Linked DNA regions of Lonchura striata. The protein of the gene in region 2 interacts with the protein of the main gene of each other region in a biochemical or structural test. Links are inferred from orthologs where the notes say so. Each region holds a gene or a part of one and is shown on either strand. Other genes may lie near its edges. The genes, in order: SREBF2 and HNF4A.

What was found.
Region 1: the proteins of HNF4A (region 2) and SREBF2 form a complex in vitro, tested with the Homo sapiens proteins (2 studies listed by BioGRID and IntAct). The link is inferred for Lonchura striata from reciprocal best matches to the Homo sapiens genes HNF4A and SREBF2.

What each region holds. Positions count from the first base shown.
Region 1 is NC_134607.1:58,258,243-58,267,847, forward strand, and holds the start of SREBF2 (sterol regulatory element-binding protein 2), read right to left. Parts: upstream 3,687-9,605; 5' UTR 3,597-3,686; coding exon 3,515-3,596; intron 3,456-3,514; exon of another isoform or gene 3,403-3,455; intron 1-3,402. Other genes in the region: CCDC134 (coiled-coil domain-containing protein 134), read right to left, coding at 5,297-5,422, 5,791-5,862, 6,074-6,255, 6,489-6,573, 6,752-6,873, 7,668-7,770.
Region 2 is NC_134619.1:9,001,526-9,010,815, reverse strand, and holds the start of HNF4A (hepatocyte nuclear factor 4-alpha), read right to left. Parts: upstream 3,605-9,290; 5' UTR 3,498-3,604; coding exon 3,383-3,497; intron 1-3,382. UniProt on the Homo sapiens protein: Transcriptional regulator which controls the expression of hepatic genes during the transition of endodermal cells to hepatic progenitor cells, facilitating the recruitment of RNA pol II to the promoters of target genes. Activates the transcription of CYP2C38.

The DNA.
Region 1 (9,605 bases), on a different chromosome or scaffold from region 2:
AAGCTCCTACTGCAACACTATAGGCCTTCCCCCTAGAGGTGAACATTTCACAACCAAGAGATCATTATTCATAAGCAGAGCTTCCTCTTCCCTCCATCTAATCCAATTTAATACCTTAAGACATATGAATGCTTTCCCTGATCTGTGTGCAGGCAGTGGCATGAGGAATCAGACATTCTTCCCCACCCCAGGACCTGCCCCTGAGGCACTGGCTCTTCCATGGTTTTCTGAAAGTCCTATATATTTTTTCTGGAAACAGGAAAAGAGGGGACCCACAAATCTAAGAGAGATTATGACAAAATAATAAATATGGGTTCAGGAAGCAAAAAATAGATTTCTGATTTATAGGAAAAAACACACCAAAGGGCTTCTTACACCAGGACCTTTCTCATTCACAAACCCCAAAGCATGTCACTGCTGTGATTTATGAAATAGATTTAAAGCAGTAAACTTTTGACAAGAAGTTTCCATGGATTATGCCCCAGCAATAAGAGGGCTATTAATTTACTCAGCTTTCTGAAATGCCACCCACACATTACCCAATTAATTTGTCTGACACTCCTTTGTCTGAAACAGAGCAAAGGGATGAATCCTCCTGCAAGCCTCTTGGTCCTTCAACACACATTCCAACACATTTCTGCGATACTTCTACTTTTCTCTTTGGATAGCAATCCTTCCACACCCTGACACACATTTAAGCACTGGCCATGACCACTGCTCTCAAGAACGAGAGTCTATTGGAGGGAGGAGCCTGGGAGATGAGCCCTCCTGACCTGTTCACAACCTGACACTAAGTGGGGATGCACAGCTCCCCCAAGATGAGGCAGCAGCCACCCTTGGAGACCAGCTGGACCAAACCCTTGTCTCAACTTTTCACTAGAGGAATGAAAGATTTCTTTTTTTAATGCATTGCCTTAACTGCTTTCACAAAACACTAGCAGAACAAAGAGGGCTGTTTCAAGATCAACATCTAGATAGATACTAAATAGCTCTTCACATTCCAACTGACTTCAGCTAAGACCATCCCGAATAACCCTCACCGTGATAAAACTAATAATCCAGACTACTTCCTGAACTCTGCATTTGATTGCTATTTAACTATCAGACAGCACAACTGCAAGTAGGGAATAAACATAAATCAGATAAGATTTGCTCTGGAAGAGTAAATTCCAGCATAAGAACAAAATTTCAACTGCTGTGCTTTAAAGAATTTTTTGTTCAATGCAGTAGATTTAACAGATTATTTAAAAAACTACTCCTGCTCTTGTAAGTTAAATCACTACTTATGACAGACTTAAATTTGACTGAATGCAAAAAGTCTAAAGCTTAATTTTTTCAGAATTAAGACTGCCAGGAAGTCTGGCAGTCTTAATTAAAATCCACCTCTTTTAAAGGGCTCAAGAGCTTTCCTAATAACAACGCACAAAAAATTAAAAGCAAGAGAAACAGCTGACACCCAAAATCTAAATCTCTGCTTTTTAAAACACCTTTGCCTACCTAGAAAGCAGAATATCCACACTGACTGTGAGAAACCTCAGGTGCTTCTGGAGCCATCAGTGTCACCAGAGCACCTGCACCCTCTGTGCCGAAGAGGTATCTAGGTCTCAGGCCCTGAAGCACAGTGACCTTACTGTAGAAAAATATCCAAGCCCAACCCAAGGCTAAAAAATGTCAACAAGGTATTACAAAATCAAAATTAAGCCCACCAAGGGCTTCTGCTGCTTTCATCAGCCCAGGGCCTGAATACCTAGCAGAAAGGCAAGGGCTGGGTTTCAGTTGCCTTTCCCAGGCAGTGGCTCCCACCTCAACAGAAACAACTTCTCTGTCCTGAACCTTGATGTGCTTCGACCTCCCACTGACTCAAACCTCGTACTCTGATGTTACCCAGCAGTGCCCTGCCAGCAAAAGATGCCCATGACTGGTGGAGGAGCTTATGCTGGGGCAAGAGGCAAAGCCTTTGGGCTCAGCACTCGGGCCCCCCGGCCACCCTTGTGCCCTGTCTTGAAGTATGAATCCAGTGAGCACTAACATCTCAGAGCACATCTGCCAAAAGAAGTCAAAATCCACACAACAGGCAGTGAGGAGCCCCCTCAGTCTGAACAGGAGAGGAACACCCACAAGACGACTTAAAAACCAAATGAAAATCCTTGCAAAATTTCAAACCCTGAGATGAATCCATGCTGATGCACAAAAAAAGCAGGATTGTCATGTATCTTCCCCCTGCCTTCCCTGAGAAAATCCACCCCTGGAGGTGGGGAGGAAAGTGAAGCTCGTTTTCCTAAGTTACTCATCACTCTGAATCACACCTCAGTTCAGAGCCATTGCTGGGTTCATAAATGCATCTCAGTTTCCGTATGGAACCTGAGAACTCATTATGTGGTGCTCAAGCAACAGCAAACACCTCCTTCAATGTGCACTATCAAACTTTATAAGCAATAACCAAACCCACTGCACCCGCATATGGCACATTCTTCTTTTACAACAAAAGAAAAAAAGGAATATAAATTTTGTCCCAAGCTATGTGACAAATCAGTGTCAAGAGAGACCTAAAAGTACTGATAAAATTTTATCTCCCAGCAGCTAAACAAGGATATTTTAGACAGCCCCAAAACTGAGCACTGTTTGGGATTACAGCCCAGCAGAGCAGTGAGCTAAGGCAGGAGCTCATCTCCACCAGGCTACAGCACAGACTACACCGAGAAATATCACTTTCAATGGGGTTTTCAGGGGCTACCTGGTGTCGCCAAAAATATACATAAAATAGGCGACACACGCAGGCACTTCATCTTGCTGCACTTCGGTGGAAAACAGGGGGTTTCTCACAGGTCTGGGCTGTGCCAGCGATGCAGTAAAGTTTTAGGATGACAGGGAAAACGGGAAATTTCAGCAGTTAGAGCTGTTCCGATGCAGGAGGGCTTGGAGGCTCGGCCTCCCACGGGCACCAGTGGAGGCACAGCTTCAGCCATCGTTTAGCACCCACTTTAAAAGACCCACGAGGGAACGCGAGGGGAACGTGGGCAGCCGCCGCTTGCCCCGTGGATGTGCGGCAGGAGCAGGGAGCACGGTCACCGCTTTCCCCGACCCCCACCGGTGCAAGGGTGGGCTCGGCAGCTCGGATCCCCACAGCCCCACCGCCCTCCTGCGGCTCCGGCCTCCACTCCAGGCGTGCGGCAGCCCCACGGAAACAGCTCAGAAGCGCTCCCGTGACAGGAGAGACACGCGTGTCCGCTCGCCAGGCGAGCGCTGCCCGGCGGGACGCGCTCCGCTCCCCCGCCCGTGCCCACCCGAGACGCGGGATGCCCGCTCCCCCCGCGCGCGTGGCAGCCCGCACCGCGTGGGAAGCGCCCCCACCCTGAACACTCCAGAGGCACGATCCAAGGACCACCCACCCCCGCCTCCTACCCCAGCAGCCGCGGGTCCGCGCGGGGAGACCGGAGCGCTCCCCCTGATATGCGTGGGAAGCCCACGCGCACCGTCCCCACCCAACCCCCCCGCTCCTTCCCGCGGCGCCTACCGTCGATGTCGCCCAGGGTGAGCTCGTCGCCCAGCTCAGTCAGGGTGTCCATGCTCTCGGCGGCCAGCTCGCCGCCCTCCATCGCGCAGGGCCCGCCGCGGCCCCGGGCGCTCAGGGGGAGGCTGCTGCCGCTGCCGGCGGGCGCCGCCGACCCCGCGCCATCTTGGGCCGGCCCGCGGCCCCGCCCCCGCGGCCCCGGCGCGCGCGCCCCCCGCGGTTTGTTGTCAATGAGACCAGGTCGCCCCCGGCCAATCGGCGGCCGCGGCGGCGCGTGGTGTGATGGCGCGTCAGCGATCAGCAGCTGCGATTAGCATAGCCCGCCCCGCCCCCTCCGCGCTGAATATTCATGAGGGGGCGGGCTGACGCCACCGCCCCCGCCGCCCACGGGAAACGCGCCCCGGGATGCCGCCGGGATGCGCGGGGAAAGGCCAGATGCAAGGCGGCGGTGGATAGAGCAGGGGGATGGTCCTGCCCTCCGCACCGCCCACGGACCCTCACCTCCGGAGAGGCCAGCCTCGACGCTTTCTGGCGTACACCCGCTCCCACCAGGAACGGGAGCAAGAGCCAGGATTCTTCTACTTAAAAAAAATAATAAAGTTAATTTTATTCAAGAAAAACCAACTGCGCCCATTGCCACCCCCTCTCCTCAATGGAGGGACTTGGCTCTGCTGTTAAAAAACCCGGGATGTTTCCCTTTCCTCAAAGGCTGTGATGCTGCCAGCCTGACACAGCAAACCAGCTCCTTGGGAAAGCAAGAGCCTGCTCTGGTGCGAGGCCATCAGCATAGGTGACAAATCACAGGGTGGCTGTGTCGGGTCGTGCTCTGTTCCCCATGGCAGCTGACACCTGGTGGAGGGTCGCAGCCACTCAAGTTGGCTCCCTCCCTATTTTGGCCATGCTATCACCACATGCCCTCATCTGGCTGCCCCCTGACAAGGGGCTTTGGGGGCTCATTTAGAGAGGATGAGCCCCAAAGAGAAGGGATGGCTGCAGGACAGGCTCTCAGTGGCTCAGGGCTGGCTCCCCAGCCTCTTCAGCATCAGCATTGCTTGCACTACAGCCACCCACTGGCTGCAAAGAGGCCAAGTACCAAAATTCCTCCAAACTGTCCAAAAATTCACCGGGCATTTGCCTCTCTGTGGGAATGACTTGCGGAGGCCCCAACATGCCATCAGCCAGGAACAGCTGCCATTGACATTTTCAACTACGTTGGACAATGAAACACATGTTGCTCGGTGAAACAGCCGCTGGGAAAAGGGAAGGTCTGATCTGGCAGAGGTAGCAGCTGTGCAGAGACCAGGTAGAACCCAGTGGGGGGTGCCAATGAGATCACTCGTTTAACGAAACAAAAAGCAAAACTGAGAGAAGCAGCATTGCTCATGAGGCTGTTTGGTGTGATGCACGCCCCAGCCCACCCGTGTTGGAGGAGGCATCTTCAGTGTGGGGTGTGCTGCAGTGAGGAGGGTTCCCTGGGCTCCACCAGAGATGTGTCCCCCACACCCTACTTCCCCACAGGCAGCAACACCCTGACCAGGGGATGGCTCCAGTGTTGTCCTGTCTGTGCTTTACCTCTGCAGAAGGGGTATCTCACTTTAGCCCCTTCGGGGCAACTAGCACCACCACGCAACCTTCACTGAACAGAAACAAAAGGCAACAAAACAAAACCCACAGCACAAATGGAAAGGGAATGGCCAGGCACCGGCCCAAAGCTGCCAAAAAGGGAGCAAGCCACTCTGTGTCTCAGTGGTGTCACCTCCACTGCAAGGCACAAGTCCCAGCATGCTACAGCTCCGACTGTGAGCGGGAGATGCGTGGGCCCTTGCGGATCTCCTTCCGCTTCTCTTCCTTCTTCCTCCTCTTCTCCTCATCCCGCAGCGCCTTCTGAAAGGTGTCAGCACTGGGGAAAAACTGTGGGTTGATAGCAAAGGGTCAGCACGGGGCAGTGCCCACAGCCTCCCAGAGGCACAGCCCCTCCAAACACACCAAAGCTAGTCCACAAGCCTCACAGTCCAGGGAGCTTTGAGCATGGATGCAGCACGAGGCAGACAGAGGCCAACCACGAGGCAGGTGGCTACAGAAGGGAGGAGAGGGCACCAGGTGCCCAAAGTAGAGCACAGATGGGGAATTCAGTGTTTGTGTTTCAGCCATGCTTATTCAGTGACAGGGTCTTTTGGCCATTTCCCACAGGCCTCCCATTCCATTCCCCAGCCAGCTGCCTGGAGCTGTAACACAGATGGGGAGGCCCACAAGACAAGTTGGCACGGTTGCCATCTTACCTCTGACTGGTCCGTTTTAAAGGGATTGCGGTAATCGGGCGATTTCTCACTGATTCCTAGCTCCTGAGCCATCTGCAAAGCAAAGGGGAAACCTCACTGGGGAGTGGTGCCTCCCACTTGCATCCTCTCTTCCACCAGTCCCATCTGTGCTCTTCCCCCATCCCTCAGCTCAAGGACAGCCCCCAGACATGTGGGGTCCCTGCCTTCCTTTTACCCCAAAACCCTCACCTCCCCCAGCCTAGCAGCAGAGAGGGGTCACGGCACGGGGGACGAAGAGCCATACCAGCCGCAGGACCTGGGAGTGGGGTCCCTGCTCGAACACACCCGTCAGGTTGCAGAAGCCGATGCCCCAGCGGATGAGGCTGTTCCAGTTGGAGTTGCGGTCGAAGTAATGGTGCACAATCTTGGGGAAGCGCAGGACGACGTCCCCGAAGAAGGCAGTGTTCTCCACCACGTGAGAATATGCTGTGGGGACAGCCACCAGCTCCATCAGCAGAGACTGAGGGCAAACCAATAGGCTCCCCAGCATGAAGTGGTCAGAGAGGCAGCAATACGGTCCCCAGCAGACAGGGACCAGCCCTGGTCTGGACTGGATACATAGGGGTTTTGTACCTACCCCATACTGATCCCAGGAAGAATGTCTGTGGTGCACCAGAGCACCAGAAAAAGGAGAGGGGTAAAAACTAGAGAGGACATACCATCCTTTATCTTCTCATCCTGAGGGAAGGGCCCATCAGGAGGCACATCAGCAGCTATGAGGACAGCACGGGAGTCCTCCAGCACCTGCCAAAGTCCTTGGTTACTGCTTTGTCCTGGAGGTGCTGCCACAGCTGCCCCACTTTGAAACCCCATGGAATCCTTCCTTCAGGTCCAAAAGCTCACCTGCCACACACTCCACAGAAGCCCCCAACCCTTCCCATTTCTGCCCACCCATGTGGGCTCAGAGTGCACTGTGGCTTACTTTGAAGAGTCCCTTGAGCATGATGTCAATGATTTTGTACTGCTGGTTGACGTCATTGAGCTCAATCAAGTTCTTCAGAGCATTCATCTGGTCCTTGCGCTTCACCTCAAACAGCTTCTTATCTGCACTGCTGTCAAGGGCACTGTTGACACTCTCCCACCACACTGTTGCTCTCCCCCTCCTCCCCAGGGCCCCTGGCACCATCCCAGGCCCCCCAGTTCTCCATGAGGTGTCTGAGGGGCAGAACCTGAGCCAGGATAAAACACAGATTTCCAGTGAACCCCTTGCCCAAACACCCCAGCAGGGCCTTTAACAATGCTGAGACCTTGTGGGGAGCTTTCTACTTGCCAGTCTCTGCTCTGGCTGATGGGCTGGAGGAGGAACATCAACTGGCACCTTCCCCATGTGTCTCCACATATTCATTTTTTCATACTTTGCCTGTTTACCAGGAGATGTGTGCTAAGAAGGGCTTGCATTAGCTCACCTCCTCACAGGCAAAAAGTGCCTGTAGCACAGAGGAGACTAAAATGCCACAAGCAGAAGAATCCCCTTCCACCATCCCAGTTGGTGACCCCAGAGCACTGAGATGTGCAGGTGTGTTCTGCCTTCTGGCTGACCATGCCACTTCCAAGAGCAGACTGGAAATGTGCACAACGGAGCAGAAAGAACACCAGGCATCACTGCCATTTCTATTCCTGCACCAAGCCAGGCACTTGGTTAGCAAGCCCAGGAGCTTGGCTAAAGCCCAACTATAGAAGGACAAAGCAGCAACTTCCCAGTGCTTCTGGATCCTCTCTTTTCTACTTCCTTGTGCCCCTTTCCATGGTCTCTGACCTCTTCCTTGTGCATGTGCTCCCTCCAGCCTTTGTAGCCACTAGTGCGTATGTGGTAATGGGTGGCAGGCTGCAGAGGATACAGATTTCCAAGCCAGAGTCTACTCTCTGTTTCTCCAGGTCTGTGAAGCTGCCCTGGGACAGCAGCAAGGCCAGTAGAAAGGGGCAGATGATGAGAAAATCCATGTTGGCCTTTGCAGCCTGGAAGAAAACAGACCAACAAAACCAATGATCAGTGAGGAGACTTATCAAAATGAGAAGTCACAAAGCCACCTGGAACTGATGGCACACTGCTCTTGGCACCAGGGTCCTTGCCCACCTCTCCCTTGTCCCCATGAGGGATCTAGTGGCCAGAGCAGAGACACATGGTGATGCTGCAGCCAGCTTGCTCTCCCCTGCAAGTGAAGCCCTGGTCTCCCTCTTCTCTCTGCCTGTCTGCACTGCCAGCCCCAGGCATCTGACCCAGCACTGACCCAATAGAAAATTTAAGACCTACCCCTTTTTCCAAAAATAACAGCTAGGTTTTTGCTGGGTTTGTGAGGCAGAGCAGCCCAACAACCACAACAGAAGGTCTGGAAGGAAGAGAAGGATCACTGAGGGATTGAAGTCTATCTCTCCTTCAAGTCCCAACACAACCAGTTCAGTGACCTCCACTCAGCACTTGGGGTATTGGTACCTGGACTCTTTCCTTAACTACAAGTTGGGTGCCACCTGCAGGTCCCACACCAAGAAACAGTTGGGTGACCTGGTGGTAACTTCCCCCCACTTCCAAACAAGTCCTTTCCCAGGCAGCATCTGAGGCTTTGCAGGGATGCTCTTGGGCAGAACTGCTCCTGACCACAAAGGTCCCTCAGACAAAGTCAATGGCTGGAGGAAAAGGTCCTTGAAAATTAGGATCCTCTTGGACAGTCTATACCTGGAAAAGGAGAGCAACAGCTCAGTCCCCAGGCAGCAGAACTCAGGGTGGTCTGTCCTCAGGCAGAAGGTTTTCATGGAGGTGAGCACAGGCCACTGGCAATTACAAAAGCAACAGCTCCTTCAGAGGCATCTGACCCACCTCCTGCCCCCAAAGGACAAGCAGATGTGTAAGGCCACCAGAGCCGACCTCACCCTATGACCCACTGAGTCCAAGTTTGCCTGCCCAAACCTGTCTCTGTAATGCCCTAACACTGAAACAAAAACAAATCCCTTCTTGTTCTTTTCTTGTTGCTTTTCTTTTTTTAAACAAATACAATTTCAACTCCAAGCCCATGAAAGAGGTAAAGCAGGCACCAGCAGTTCTCCCAGCCCTGCAAGGATCAGCAGCAGCTCCCACCATGTACCTCCTGCCGAGGTCAAGCCAAGCATCTTCACACCCCTGGCAAAGGCAGGAGAACAGTGTCAGACAAACATGAGAAACCCTATGAAATACTTTGCTGTTGTGCTTTGGAACAGACCAGAGTAAATACAACCAGCATTATTGATGAAGACATGGCTGCCCCTGGTGTAGGCTCAGCAATGTGCCCCATGTTTCTGTTCTGACACAGTGCAGAGCCAGGACAGCAGCAGAAATCCCCATGCCAAGTTTGGGGTCTGTCCCCTTTTCCCACTGTGGTGTGAGGCTTAAGCCATATTCCAGCCATCCTGAATGCCACAAAGCACACCAACAAGCCAAGGCTGTAAAGAAAATTCTCCAGCCCAGGCAAACAGATGTTCTGTTGGACCTACCAGCCTGGTCAGCTTCCAAGAGACTGCTTCACCCTGCCAAAAACCATAACCCAAGGACCCAGGGCCTGGCTCAGTGAGGTGGCACAGGTCTCCCCTCTGCAGAGCACCCCAGCTGCTCACTACCTCCCAGGCTCTCAGGGAGGAGGAAGTGCAGCAATGCAAAAGCACAATGAGCGACTCCCCTGGGACGAGGCTCTTCTTTGCCCCTCAGATCACACATACCATCATAAGGATTGGCTGGCTATTTGCCATGCTCATGGAGAACTGGAAAGAGAAACTGGAGATAGCCAGTGGCCTCCAAACCAGGTTGGAAG
Region 2 (9,290 bases):
GTGTTTAAATAATTGCATTTTGAGGTGCACTAAAACTCCCTGTATTCCATAGTGAGACCCCTCTTCCAAAGGCCTGGCTGAAGCAGTGCCTTCAGATAAAGTGGAAGCCCGTTTGCAGGAGTCACAAGGCAGAGCCAAAATTCCTTGGGGATTTGCAGACACTTTGGGCTGCAGTAGTGTGGCCAGAGAAAAAGCTGATGCAGAGTTAAGTGGAGGTATTACAGCTCGGGGTGAGCAGCTGATTTGTTAGGGAGGTGTTTGTGTTGTTACATTGAAAGAGCCCAAGACAGCCCTGAGCAGATGAGGTGAACAGTTCCCTTGTCCAGGCATGGAGCCCCAGCCTGCACAGCCCCTTTGGGAAAACAAGACTTTAGATAAATAGCAAACTCAAATGACTTCAGCTGGAAAACTCACGTGGGCAAAGGCTACCCATGCAAGGAAGGGCTGATTAAAGAAAAAAGGTGGCACTCTGGCATGGAGAAGGCTGTAGGCTGGGTATCTTCCAGAGTCTGGTAAGATCACAGTGGAAATTGATTTGTCTTGCAGTCCTTGCAGACCAAGGGGGACTGGGGCTTGCAGGGCTTTTTTTGGAGGGTAGGGAATTGCAGCAGTCTCTGGAGGAAAGGACATCTGAAAGGCTAAAAACCATACAAGGGCTACACTAAACCCCTCTAGCAAGCCAAACAAACCTCAAGGCTGAAGGGATCAGCCCTTAATTCAGTTGATCTAATTGTCCCCTCCCATGTAAGTTTTTCTGTGTCAGCACAGGCACATCCCCCTCCCTCAGTGGAAAAGCCAGTCACAAATCATACACAGGATCTACAAAGCTATAGAAACCTGCTGGTATTTTTAATGCTTGAGTCGATTGGCTCCTGATTTCTGGGTTTTTGTAGGGACTCAGTTAAGGCTCACCCTGGAAGGGCCACAGCTGTTCCCACCTGGCACCCAGCAGAAGGGCTGGTCCCAGCTGGGCTCCCCATGGTAGCCCAGCTGTGGTGCTGGCGGGGCCAAGGCAAGTCTGGCTGGGGGAGGACTGCATTTTTAGTTTCCATTTTACAGAGAAAAGGGAATTTCAGCAGGTGCAGCACATCCTCCTCATGCCATCCCTCAGCAGGAGTAACTGGCACAGAACCAGCAGTGAACCAGCACAGGGATTTTTGAGTCTTCCCTACCTCTGGCAGGGCCTTTCATTTCCCTGCCTGCTTTCTGTCTTTCCAATTCCTGTGTCCCTCCTGTATTTCACTGTGAGTCACTTAGCTGCCTCTCTGTGTCCCTGCCTGGCACACCCTGTCACGCAGCTCCAGCAGCACCAGTGCAAAGCTCCTGTCTCCACTCCCAGAGCTCTGAGCTTTCCCAAGGCTATCCTGGCTGTCTTTTGCTCCTGTGAGCAGCTTGAAAAGAACCTTTCTCCATGAATATCCCGAGGGCTCAGCTAAATGCAGCTCACTCCAGAAGGAAAGTCAAATTCTCAGTTCCAGCTAAACATAGGACTTAGATGTGAGAGGAAGAGCTGATCTGCCTGTAATCCCATTACTTGTATATCTGTGGCAGCCCAGATAAATCCCTTTTTAGCAATCTATCAGGCTGTAATCAGATGAACATAGAGCAGGAAAAACTGGCACTCTTATCAAAGAAATTGCAACATCTCAGTCTAATAGTCAACAACAATGAAATTATTGCCTAATGGATAATTTTCCAATTGAGTTTATTCTGCCAAATATGTGCCAAAAATGTGGGCTATGGCTGGCTGCAATCAAGTGGTTGGAGTTAAGGTAAATGGCAGAAAGAAAAAATCTGTCTTTGAGAACTTGCAGCTGATCCTTGTGTTAGGACAGGAGCTGCTCAGAAGGTCCCTGAGCCTGTCTGAGCACAGGATGCATTTTTCTGTGAGAGGCAAACGTGGTCCCTGCTGAGCAGCAGCCCTGGGGCTGAGCTGGAGAGCTGTGGCAGGCAGTGGCTGGGCTCTGGGCAGTGCTTTTCCAGCAAAAGAGGCACAGGTTCTGCAGGTGGAGGTCCTGCAGGAGGTGTGTCCTCAGAGCAGCTGCTGCAGTGCCAAAACAGCCCTGGAAGCAAGGGCTGTCCCTGGCCTGGAGCTGGGCCCAGGAGGAGAGGAGCTGGTGCTGCCTGCCCCAGCTGACTCACCCAGTGTTACAGCACACTGGATCTTGTCACAGGAAATTATCCTGTCCCTCTGCTCCGTGCAGCCCTGTGTCCAGGGCAAATACAGCTCCTTGTGCAGATGCTTGCTGGATGAGAGTGGGGCACGGAGAGGGAGCAGGGCCTGAGCTTGTCCCAGAGTGTGCAGATGGATATCAACAGAGCCAAAGGGGGTGACTTCTATCCCTAAGGCACCTGAAGGGGTAGGACCAGCCTGCAGGAGTGGAGAAGGGGCTGGGACCCAGAGTGGTGGGGGGTTATTGCACAGCAGAGCCACTTTGCCACCGCTGTGTTACATCCCTGACAGAACAGAGCCATAACCCAGGGAGGACCCACACAGGCTGTGATGGAAGAGTCCACAGAGCCAGCACAGCCCTTCTGGGACAGAGGTGTCCAGCAGTCTGGAAGAAAAAGGGCTTGGAGGGCTGGAAGGAAAGGGCTCAGAGGGCCACTTTCTGTGGCTTCATTTAGTCATTAACCTCATATTTAGAGAGACTTCAGGGGGGACTTGGAGAGGAATCTCTTGTTATCTCTGAACAGTTGATCACCAAGACTCTTTGGTCCCCAGATGGGTGGGATTTCTGGAATTCTGTGAATTCTGGAGGATTAAGTGTGATGCTACCCTCCAGAAGGGATGGGAACATTTATCTATCCTCTCAAGGTCCCCTTGTCCCTCTTACTGGGGGCTGAGGCAGGAAAGGACATGCCACCCCACACTCCAGTGCTGCACTGGGGAAGGGCTGTGGCTCACAGCAGCTGCAGCGGCAGTGCCTAAATCACTTCTGACAGTGATTTCCACCCTTACCAGGTGCTAAATGCCTTTCTGCTCTAGGAGCTGACTCTGAGCTCTGGAGACACAGGGTCAGCTGTCTGTCTGGTGAACCATCAACAGCACTTCATGCAGAAACTTTTGGCTGGGGTCTGGGAGACCCCCACCTTGTTTAGTCCCAGCCCCATTGCCTGGGTTGAATGTCTGGAGGGGACCTCTCATTCAGCCAGCTCCTGGAGCGGGCCTGCTGGGCTGCAGGACACCACCCTGCCTGTACCAAACACAGCTCTGCTCTCTCCCCTCTATTTTCCCCTGGGGAAACAGAACCCTCCCTGGGAGCTCCCCATCTTACAGCCCTTCCTTCCCCGGGAACATTTCTGTGGCCACCCCAGGGGCTTCTCCTGCAGCCCCCAGCTCATCCCACCCAGCAGAGGGGAGAAGGTGGAGGAGACTCACCATTGCCCATCGCCAGCACCTGCATGTTCTCAAACTCCAGGGTGGTGTATGCCGGGTCTAGCGCTGCGCTGTAATCTGCCATCTCCATGTCTATGAGGGCTTTGGAAAGGCGCATTATCCTCAGCAAACACGGGCCAGATTGTACCGATTCCCTTGTCCCAGGCTATTGGCCCTCCTGCCTCCCTCTGCCTTCACTGCGTCCCCTACCTGTTGTCTTTTAATTCAGATATTTCTCTGAAAGGATTTGCTGAGCCTCAAGGCCTATACTCCCAGAGGGGTGGAGGCAGGAGGCAGGGGGTTAATCTTTAATCATCTCACCCATTGCTGAATACTGCTAAGCTTTTTTTTTTTTTTTTTTTTTTTTTTTTTTTGGTGGAGCAGCAGTGATTCTTGTTGATTGTTTATTATTGAATCTCAAGGCGTTTCTGATCCTGGCTCCTGGGTGCAGGCAGCACCACAGGAGCAGGCACTCACCAAGATCTATTGACCTTGATGCTAAGCTGCTGGTGTTGCTCTTAATTATACCTGGGGTGGAAAACTTGGAAAAAACCCTACCAAGAGTACAAGGTTCTTCGCCACTTCTGTCATTGCCTTCCTCTCCTCAGCACTGATTGCCTACACCTCTGTTTTTCCCTTCTCTTGCTCCCTCCATCCCTTCCACTCCCTCTTTTCTCTCCCTCATGGTCAGAGAAGGTCAGCTCCTGCCTGGAAATTTACACGTTGCTATGTAAAGTGAAATATATGACTCCTTTTACCTCCCTATAAACCAACTTTTACAGGAGGCTGGATGCCCTATAAACAGATCCCATTCTGCAGCCATACCCAAACAGCGAGGGGGGCTGAGGGGTGGCACAGACACCCTGGGAATGGCCAGGGTGGCTCCTGTCCCACAGCTGAAATCACTGTGTGCTGACACCCCCAGCCTTGGGTACTGGCTGATCTGCTATAAAAGTTTCATGAGACAGGTTCCAACAGAGCAGCAGGAGCTTTCCTTCTGCGGGTGCACTGTCTGCTTACAGCACCAGACCTGGGCTCTGACCCCACTGGTGCTGGGCAGAGCTGTCTGTGCTCTCCTCCCCAGCTGCCCCGTGGGACATCACTCCTCCACTTCAGCCAGAACTGAGACTTTTCAGTCTTAATTGAGACTCAGATCTCAATTTTGAGATCATTGAGCGGGAATTTAATTGATTTCTGAATAGCACTGGCTCATGCAAGAGAATCAGCAATTAATGATTTGGTATCAGTTTGTTCTGCATTGAAAACAGCCCCGTGGTTTCGCAACCAGCAGCGACTGAGTCCACACGCTGCTGATCTGGGCTCCCAGTGCCTTGTGTTTGTTCTTCCCAGGCACCCCAATGCAGCCCCAACCCCACTGGCACCATAAGCTGCCCTGGATATAGTGCCATCACTGCCACAGCATGAATCCAAGGTCTCTGGCTCCACACCAGTACATGCCTTTGGGCAGTTGTGCTAGATTTTCTATTCACATTTTAGGAGCACACGGAATTGTTCAAGCAGCCCTTTGCCCCCCAAAGCCATGACCTACATATCACTTCTGAACAGCTCTTCTACCCTGAGGCTGCAGTTCTGCCAGAGTGAATCTGAGCACAGGGGAGAGCCCCTGCTTTCTCACTTGGGAATGGTGATAAATGATCCTTTGCTGCAGGGGAAACAGTGATTCTGTCAGTGCTCCTGAGGGACAGGCCAGAGCTCATGTGCTGGTGGCTCTTCCTTTAGGCAGATACAGTCCTTGCCAAAAATTGGTTTTATGATGTGCAGACTGGGATGGAGATGCAAGAATAGAGCATAGCCTTTTCCATAGCCTTATCCCAGGGACCTCAGCCCCAGTCCTGGCCAGGCCAGGGTGATCCCTTTGATTAGATAAATGCTACAGACACCAGGTCAAATATGTGCAAGATTTGCCACAGCGTCTAGTAAAATATCGTAAAAGCAAGGCCCGTTCTGCTCTGCTCAGCAAAACAAACCTTTTGCATCAATAGCCTGCTGAGCAAGGGGGCTGCAAAGGCCATTTACTTCCCAGGCAGGAAGGATTAGAAGGGCCAGGAATAGAAATCAGAGAGGCAGCATGTGCAGGAGAGAGGCAGATAAGGAGCAGGGAAGTTTGGAGAGCATTAGGTGGCTCACGAGGCTGGGGCTGTCAATGGGACACAGTGTTTTCCACCCAGGACTGTGTTGACTGCTGTTTTTCACCACCAGTGTCCTCTGTGGGTCACCAGTTGCCCCTCCCAAATCCTTCATGTTGGTGTGGAGGTCGAGGGCCAGACCAGCCAAGGACACCACACACCTCCTTTGCCCTGGAGATGAGCTCTGATGGAAGCACTGGCTGCTCCCTGGGCACTGTTGCTGCAGGTGAAGTCTCCCCTTGTGTCTTTTGCCTGGGAAGTTCATGGTTGTCTCCCCCGGCATCCTCATGTGGTGACTTTTGGGACAGCTTGCTTGCACTGGCTTGTACTGACCAACAGGACCCCACAGGTCTGTAGCTGTTTTAGGTGGGAGATGTTCAAGTCAGCAGCTGCTTGTGGAGCTGTTTCAAACACTTCTGGCTACAGAAGGCGTCTTGCCTTTCTTATCCACACAGAGAGACAACTCATAGCTGGAAAACCCCCACTGATAAGTGAAGGCTGTTCCCAAACTAGGTGCTCCAGAGAAGTTAATCTTTCAGATCTGCTCCTCTCTCCTGTCCTGGTTCTCTGTACACTCCACCCACTGTTTCCGATGTCAAGTCATGGTTGCAAAGGAAACCATGACAGCTATGGGGTTTGACCTGTTCTATGTCAAGTGATTATTTCATTTTTATCTGTTGAGCAGTAAATCCTTTCCCACACTGGCACATCATGGCACTAATTCTGCCTTATCTATATATCCCCCATCTGGAAAATTTATGCAAACCTAAAGGGGATTCCCTGAAAATTAGATCTGTGCTTCTCAATAGGTGAGGACCAGGGACAGAGTATTTAATAGGGCATTTTTGGAAAGGATGCTGTCACCTACTGTGCTTGCCAACTCTGCATGTCCAGCAGGTGAGCTGGCTCCTCTCAAGGGGCTCCTCCCTGGTGATTCTTGAACAGGGTGTTGTAGGATCAGAGGATAATTGATGCCAGAAGGAACCTCAGAGTCTCTGCCCCAGGCTCCTGCTGGAAGCAGGGCCAACCGTGAGAGCAGCATGGGCTCCCTGCAGCTTTATCTAGCTGGGTCTTGAACACCTCCAAGGATGGAGAGCAGCCTCGGCAGCCAGCTGGTGCTTGACTGTGCTCATGGTTAGACACTGGCTGAACCTCTCTCCAGTTTTTATGCCCCTTGTTCTCCAGCCATGCACCCTGGGACGAGCCTGGGCCCATCTTTTCAAGTGCTCCTGTGTGTGTTATGCTCCTGCAGTTCCTGCTGGCCCATCTCTCCCCGCTGCTGCAGGATGCAGCCCTGCCTGCCAGTGGATCGACCAGGCACCCAGTCTGGGCTTGCCTGCAGACTTCCTGAGCATGGACCATCACCAGGGGCCCTCCTGCTCGTTGCTTTTCTCTCTCACAGCTCTGCACTCTTATAAAGTGCCCGGCAGAAAAGCCAGAGCCCAGGGCCAGCAGGACTCCCCTCAGCTGTCATCGGCAATGCCATCGCTGGCCTGGCAGCCCTGACTCCAGAGCTCTGCTCCCCGTCACTCCCAGCTCCAAGGCCACTGTAGAGCTGGAATATTTCACATGGCCTTTTTTTCCCGCACATGCACACAAAGCAGAGATGGGCTCAGGTGTGGAACCTCAGCAGAGCAGCCAAGCCCTGAGCACGGTCAGGGCCCTGCTCGGCCCGTCGCCATTTCACGAGCGAGCTGTGGGGAAGCAGGAAGCCCAGGTACAAGACAAAGAACAAAAGTCCCAGGGGAACGTCACCAGCGTAGTCATCTCCACACATGCAAAGGTCCCTTCTGCCTTTTTTTTTTTTCCCCTTTGAAATTTCAAATTCCAGTTTGTGGACAAAGTCCTGCCTATCTGAGAATATAGATCTCCGACCACTGACCAAACTCCACTTCAAGCAGTCCCGAGGACTGCTCTTCCCCCTGCCCACGGACGTGTCTGCTCAGTCCTTGGATCTCCCAGGATCATGCTGAAAATTTTGCACTGGAGCACAGCACTGGTACTTTCACAAAGCGGATTTTGTACTTAATGTCAGCAGCTTCTTTCTGGGAAGAACCTCGGGAATAACCAGGTAGGAGCCTTATCACCTACAATTCATTTGGCCAGCCATTGAAGAGAGAAAAGGAGAAGGAGAAACAAGGGCTTCCATTGTGCTTGTACCAGCAATTTTAGTTCATCATTTAAGTAAGGGAAGGGGAAAAAAAAGCAGCTTCAGAGGGGATGATAAACTAGAGGGAACATGAGCTTGTGGAGGCAGAGCCACTCTGTATAGTTAACTGATAACTCCAATTTGCTCTTCCCTCTCATCTTTTCTGATTCTCTCAATTAAGCTCAACTTATTCTCATGCTAATCATTTCTTGACCTGTTTATTCTGCATTAAAAAATTAACAGAGAGCAGTTTACTGCATGACTTGCTCACACAGAACTGCTACAGATTAGCAGGCATGCTTTAAGCCCCTACACTGATTCTTTTGGGTCTCGCAGCCAGTCTGCACAGCTCGAGGATGAGCTTTTTTTCCTGTTTTTAAAGAACAGCTTTTTCTAAAGTCAATATAAACCCCCCTCCTTTCATGCCTTGAGTATATTTGCTCGGTGACTATTTCCAAATGGGAAAGATAAAGCCAAGGGCTTGTGTTTTGTCAGACTTTTTGTAAACAGAGGTATTTAGGCCATACTGTCAAACCCTCCTGCCTTCTACCTTGGCGTGCTGTGACTCCAGAGCAGAATTGTCAGTGTGTTAATAAGCAGCTCCAAGGAATTTTTTGGGGCTGTAATGTTGCAGGTCAGTGCAGCTGCCCAAGCCCCCAGCTCATGGGGTAGATCTTTGCCTCTGCTCGCGGCAATCATATGACAGACACACAGATGGGAATCTGCTCCCATGTCCCTCCCCAGAACATCCCCAGAAGCTGTGAGAAGCCTCCAGGGAAATAGATGATTCAGCAGAGGTTGTTTAGGGTCCGTTTGCCCCTTGCCAGCTGCACACTGCGCATCCCTGCCTGAGCAAAACACTTTGTAGAGGTGAAAATGAGCCACCAGCTCCATCCAGGGAGGTGGATTAGAAAGATCCAGCAATGAGAGGCAGAAGGAGACCACAGCCATGTGCCAGACCTTGCCTGGGGAAGATGCAATCAATTTTATCATCCTGTTCCACAGCAATCACTCTTGGTGATTTACTTTCCCCAGGGCTGAAGTGCCTGCCACTGGGGTTGGGGCAGATTTGCTGTTTGGAGCTGGGGGCAATGGCCAGGACAGACAAACCCTGTGCAGACCCCAGACATACTGTCACTGATCATCATGTGACATGTGCTGGCACCCCAGGCTCCCCAGCACAACTCAGGGTGACAGAGGCAGCTTCCTTGCAACCTTAGGCTGCTTCTGAACAGAGTTATTATCAAAATGTAGCCAAACCAACCAATACTGTCCTAGTCCCCAGACCACAAAATTCTCATATGGAGAACTGAGGCAGCTTTTGGGCATGGGGAAGAGTTACTGTAAAGAAGGTATAAGACTGCCTGAACTCCTCTCCAAAAGCAACATGTGCAGTTCAGCAGAAGCTGGGATGATGTTGGGCCTGGAGGCAATTATTGAAGCTAAAATAAGTAGCTGCTCTGCAAAAGTGGTAGGGAAAGAACTGCAAACACGGGGACAGACAGATCATTTCAGCATATACTGCTCTGGTGATAACACTGTGCTTGCCTTTCATCCCAGGACTGGAGAGGAGTTTATTATCCTGCCTAATAAGGGCTCTGAACTCTTGAGGAAG